Linked DNA regions of Xenopus tropicalis. The protein of the gene in region 1 interacts with the protein of each later gene in a pairwise test. Links are inferred from orthologs where the notes say so. Each region holds a gene or a part of one and is shown on either strand. Other genes may lie near its edges.

Region 1 (2,647 bases):
TAAGGTAAGTGATTACAGTCACTGGGGGTACCTAACATTTTGGCACCCCCAGTGATTTTACCTTTCTTTCTCTTTTAATTATGACTTCCAACAGGGAAATTATTCCACAAAATTATTTTTGTAGGCAGTGAAATATACAGAGAAGGAATACATCTATTAACACCAACAATATCCTTATCTTCACTGCCTATTAACTGGTAATTAATAGTGGATAAATTCAAAGGATAACATTTCCTTTTAGCGCCTTAATTCAAATTTACTTGACTTTATATCTTTCTATAAAGTACAAGTTTTTGGACCCACAAGCAAGATGTAATTTAAACTTAGATAATTAGCTTTGCTCAGATATATTAAAATTGTGCTTCCATAAGGATCAGCTTGGGCCCTCTATACCCATACAGTACCCAGTAGCCAATCATTTTTCCCCCCTGCATATATGTGTACTTTACAGTATTTTCTAAATATCCTAAGGATTTTCTGTTAGCACTTTAATGGTGCTTGCAATCTTGTATCAACGGTATTGAAGAGTAAGCCCATGAAGAGTCACATGTCAACATCAAGAAAAGGAGAAGCTAATTAGATACTGGCAATTCCTCTAAAGCTTGGGCTGCAACATTGATGTTAAATTAAACAACATGTTGCCCTTCTATCATTAATACGTACAGCCTTGGAGGGCAATTCTCCGGTTGGTCAAGTGAACCTCCATCCATGACAAACTTCAGGACCTGCTCATTAGAAAGTCCCTGATATGGCTGTTCTGCCAAACTCGTTATTTCCCATAAAACAACTCCAAAGGACCTAAAACAAGAGAGAGTTAAAAATGCACATTTTAGAAAATAAGTACTGTGCACCAGAAAATAAAGTGAATGTATCAACTGTTGAATATATACAAGTATGCAATATGGGGGGGATAGAAAATTAGAAAAGAGGTCAAAAAAGTATATACTTTATTCTTAACTGATCTTAACTGATTATGCTGATAACATACCAGACATCTGAGAAAGTTGTGAACACTCCATCTTTCAGTGATTCAGGGGACATCCATCTAACAGGCAGCAGCCCCTTTCCCCCTTTTCGGTAATAATCTGTCTCATAGATATCTCGTGTCATTCCAAAATCTGAAAGGCAAAAACGTGAATATTGAAGCTAAAAATTAAATTAAAAAATGGCTTTCAAATACAAGCATTTGGTTTATAGATTCTGCTATATACGGGGAGGTTATTTATACATTTTTGAGTTTTTGTCACTTCAAATTAACTTCAAATTTTACCAAACTTGAATGTCTGTTTATTTACTAAAAAATGTGAATAGAAAAAACTCGATCAAATTAAATGATCAAATACAACATTTATAACGGGTCTACAAACTCTCAAATAAAATTTACAAAACTAGAATTTGAGTTTTTGCACCAAAAAAATTGAACATTGGTAAATCACCCCTTTAGTATCAGTAGATGTTAAAGAGAAGTTGACACTAACAAATGCCACCAAATTTTAATATTCAAAATAGGGTCACAATTCAACATCAAAATGTTGGCTAACACTAGTGAACTAGTGCATTTTTAGTGCAAACCATGCAATGTTTGATGAAGGGAAATGCCCCAAAATATTAGATGGTTTGCACTAAATAAAGACACAGGAGCATCCTACTAGAACCAGCCTTGCTGTTCCAGTTTGTTTGTTTTAGGTTAGGGTGTGCCTATCCCTCATTACATACTGAGGCCAGGGTAAGATGGTGAGTTTTGGGTTTAGTTAACACTCATCTGAATCCTGATCTAAGGGTCTTTTGTGACCAGGCAGCCCAAAGCTTTGGGGTTCTAGAGCCATGGCCCCTCATTTCCCTTATTTTGATCCATGCTTGTTGGCAAGTCTCTTTTTCTAGTTAATCAGATACTGATGCCAGTCAGTTCTAAAAAAATATATTTTGGGGTTGTTCTAGGGAGATTACTCCATAAAGCATACATTTTACTTACCTCCAATTTTCACAGTATAATCTTCAGCAACCATGCAGTTCCTAGCAGCCAGATCCCTGTGTACAAACTTTTTAGCATTGAGATATGCCATGCCATCTGAAATTTCCGCTGCCATCTGGATCATTTCTTTAAGGGTAGGAGCAGGACGTCCTGGGTTATTCTGAAAATGTAAGGGTGAGAGGAGAACTGCTAGTTAGTAGCAGTATTTAGAGTACCTAGCTGTTTTAATAGCTGTCTACCATTTTTTCTCTAATGTTAAAGTAAACGTACTGCCAATTTGAGACAGCCCCAGGGCGACACACTATAACAGCAAAGTGACACATGCCATTTGCCTTTCTGTAGCACACATCTCTTCATATATCTTATAAGCTCTTTAATGTGCATCTCATTCTTACACCACCACAACCAATTATAATGTTTAGTATAGCCTGTATAGCATGCTTACCTCTGCATCAGGTCGCAGTGAGCGCAGGTAACTTTTGAGATCCCCATGCGTCATTAACTCCATGATGACAAGTGTTGGCTGACCTTTGGACACCACACCAAGCAGACGGACCTGCAAAGGGGCAAAACAGTGAGACTTTATAATGTCAACAATGCCATGAAAAGTTTACATGGAGGCACATGGGTTTACAGAAATGTCTGTATGTCATGTCATGATCACCCTTCTTCACC
Region 2 (3,760 bases), about 41 Mb from region 1:
AGCTTATATTGGAAATGCATTCCTATGTTCAAATTTAGAAAAAAAAAAAAAAAGAAAAGAAAAAAACCCTCCCACTGTAGACTTATCTCTAATAAACATCCACTCAAAAGGTTCAGTATGGTGTGGCAGCTTTAACAAAGATGACCTAATATAGTCCAGTTTAACAGTAAACCAACTGCCTTACAAAAATTGATTGAAATTTGATCAGCTGATGATCACAAATACCCCCTGTACCCAAATGTCCCATCAATTTCTGTTTTAATAGCTTAAAGGAGAAGGAAAGGTAAAATCACCGGGAGTGCCAAAACGTTAGGCACACCCCAGTGACTGTAAATGCTTACCTTATACCCTCGGCTGCTGTTCCTGTTAGGAGAAACCTGCACCAGCAATCTTATTCCTCTTGTCATTTTTTTCTTTATGATCCCAAAGCCAACAGAACTGTGCATGCGCAAGTGGTGAGAAGACATAAGAGAATCGCTCTCTCAGGTACCCAGGGCCAGTGCAGCTTTCTCCTAACAGAGGCACCCCTCAGTGATCTTACCTTTCTTTCTCCTTTAAGGGTAAGAACCCATGGAGTGAGTTACTAGCCCAAGATAGATCTCTGCTATCGCGGGCATGTAACTGCTCTGAAGTCGCACCAAGGAGGAGGAAAACCGAAGCAACGCGAAGGGCTTCCTATTGTTGCCAGTGGAAAGCCTTTTCAACGGTGACTAGCCCACGATAGCAAAAATCTCTCTCGAGCGAGTTACTTGCTCTGTTGATTCTTACCCTTAAGACCACATTAACAATAAGAGCATGTGTATGTTGAAGTAAAGTCTGGCCCAAATTAACACATACCATATTTTCTCACATATAGCCTTGACATATCTAGGATATGTTAGTGAAAATGGAAAGGTACCCACAACTATTCAAAAACAAAACCATACAGAAAGATAAAAAAAATAAAGATATGATCATGTATAAAACCCAATAAGAACCTTTAAGCTGATCGGTAACTTTATTTAAATACTCTTTCAGCCCTGGGTCTGTAGTGAGTAGCAGTGTAAGTCCATACTTCTGGATACGTGTGAACGTTTCTGATGGATAAATCCCACGCTGATATAAAATACTATTGATGCCACAAACTAAGGAGAAAAAAAAACAAACAAAAATTAACATATGATCAAAAACAGACTGATTAATATCCTGATTTTTGGGACCTGTAGTTTTCTGGGTAAGGGTTTTTTTCTATAATTGATTTTGCTGAAAAACATTTAAACATGAAATAAACCCAACTAGATTGTTATAGATATGAATTTATGCAGCTACGGTTATTATTACAGTGAAAATACAGGTATAGCATCCAGAATGCTTTGGACATAGGGTATTTGGGATAAGGGACCTTTCTGACATTTGGATCATCATACCATATGTTTGCAAAAGTTATTTATACATTAAATAAACCCCATAGGATCATTTGGTCTCAAATATGGATTTGTGTAGCTTAGTTTCCATAAGGTACAAGTATTTTTACCTCACAAAGTATAGCCTTACTGCAACAGAGCTAAGGTTTTCACTGACAGTTATTTTCTTAAGCTGTAAGGCACTTCTATGTTAGGAGTGACTAATTGTGGCCACCATACTGGATGTCCTCAAAATAGTGTTTTGACTTGATCCTAACTAAGTTGCATAAATCCATATTGGTGACAAAACTACCCTATCCAGTTTTATTGTTAACACTTTTCTTAGTTCACTTAAGATACAGAGATTCAATTGACTTTATTTAATCTAGTGCCAAGTAATTGCTTGGTAGCGTTACAGTGTATGCAAATAGCCACCCCTTACAAAAGGAGCATGATCTTGGCCAGCCAACACAAATGTAGCATTGTAGAAAAAAAAGTTAATTTGTGCTTGCTGTTTTTCAAAATTTTAAAGAAGCACTAACCCCCACATACTCTTTTTTTTTTTTAAATTGTATCCACCTACAGCAGCTCCCCTCCCCTCAACTGCATCACTGCCAATGTCTACAAAATCCAGGCCACCACAATATCAGTTGTCTAATTGCAGAGTTGTGCAGCAGGGCTGGTGGCTGCCATCTTTGGAAGCAGGAGTATGCACACTGGAACGATTTGGCCTATGACTAAGTGCCCAGATGGAGCACAAAACACATAGCTTTGTTGTTCTTTGAAACAGATCTATTACATATTTAATAAATAGCAATTTTAAGCAGTATAGTTCTACTCCAGTCTGGTTTTGTGCCAACCTGTCTCTCTCTAAGAAGATATTATGCAAACAGGAATGATTTGGCCTATGATGAAGTGCCCAGATGGGACACAAAAACACATAGGGCTTTGTTGTTCTCTGAATAAGATGTATTGAGTTCTTAATAAATATCGATTTTAAGCAGCATATTGTGCCAGTCTCTCTCTCTAAGAGGATATTATGCTCAGTGGAGACCAATTAATGCCTGACTTCCAAATCACATGCTCTATCTGGCCAAAGCTGCAGCTTTACTCAGCAAGCAGATAGTGGGGTGGACTTTTACACACTGTCAGCAAAATATTTTCGTGTAGTCCCTCCTTTACTGCATGAGTCCAATTGTCAGTGCGTTTTCTATCCATGTCCCCATATCAGCCATGCCAAAGGCTCAGTTATTAGCTACTGCTATTGCAACCAATAAGGGTTATCTTCCCCTCCCCAACCACTTACAGAAAAACTCCGACACGATTTCAGCGCTACCCTTCAGGGTAATCCCTTCACGTGTTAGCTGACCGGCCATCGGACCCTTCTTGTAAAACTGAATTGGTTCCAAAAGTTTTCAGGTCCTGATAGTACTAACGCGCCTTCCACTTCAAACCAACGGCGGACTCGTACTCTGATTGGACAACTGTCACATCATGTGCAGCCTGTGGTCCAATTAAAAGCCAGCCGGAAAGATGCGTTCTGCGTGACGTCGTATGTTCGCCATCATTACTGAGGGCAAATCTTAAAATTTGCGGTAATAGTGTAGCTCATATCAACCAATCAAAAGTTAGCTTTCCTAATTTGCTTGCAGCTAGAATAACTGAATCGAATCTGCGTTTGCTACGTGTTTAGTTTATTGGCGCAGTGTTTATCGATATTTGGGCAGTTGTCGGTGATATTAAATAAATGGAGCATATGTTCGCAGTTCTGTAGACGTCTTCCGCAGATATATTTAGAACATGGTATTGTGATTTGTAAGAGGTACGGCTCATATTAGTGGGCGTGGAGCGCGTTGGACTTGGATGTATATAACTTTAACATTTTTACGATATAGCATACAGGAACAACAAATTATGCAGAAATTTTATTTCAAACGTATACACACTTAGGGCACTGGAAAATACATTTATGACTTTAAAATTCACATCGTTCTCGATCCCGTTGGAGCATGCAGTTCCCTGTCACATACCCACCTATGGGCAATTTCATAGGGAGCTATTACCCTGCTCTTCTGTTTTTGGATCATGGGTTGGGTTACCAGTGCCACTGTTTGGTAAAAAAAATAATATTCCTACCCATTTGGCCTGGTATCAAGGCTGGTAAAATACTGGCCAGGTGGCGACATTATGCCTGGGGGGCAGGGACCCATGATCATGCATACTCCTGACAGGCAGTGCTGTGGGAACATTTCTTTGCTACATTTTTGTTTGCTGGTTTCTGCACGTTCCTGGTCGTCTCTGTCTTTTTACACCATCAACACCAACTGCGCACATTCGTCCTAAACCTTTCTATCTTGCTGCTCCTTACAGTGGATATA

The links.
Region 2: the proteins of insr (region 1) and mad2l1 interact in binary tests that used the Homo sapiens proteins (3 or more experiments, as listed by UniProt). The link is inferred for Xenopus tropicalis from reciprocal best matches to the Homo sapiens genes INSR and MAD2L1.

Annotation. Positions count from the first base shown.
Region 1 is NC_030677.2:111,775,972-111,778,618, forward strand, and holds part of insr (insulin receptor), read right to left. Parts: intron 2,529-2,647; coding exon 2,418-2,528; intron 2,133-2,417; coding exon 1,973-2,132; intron 1,119-1,972; coding exon 989-1,118; intron 799-988; coding exon 664-798; intron 1-663. UniProt on the Homo sapiens protein: Receptor tyrosine kinase which mediates the pleiotropic actions of insulin.
Region 2 is NC_030677.2:71,054,969-71,058,728, forward strand, and holds the start of mad2l1 (mitotic spindle assembly checkpoint protein MAD2A), read right to left. Parts: upstream 2,805-3,760; 5' UTR 2,759-2,804; coding exon 2,689-2,758; intron 1,125-2,688; coding exon 978-1,124; intron 1-977. UniProt on the Homo sapiens protein: Component of the spindle-assembly checkpoint that prevents the onset of anaphase until all chromosomes are properly aligned at the metaphase plate.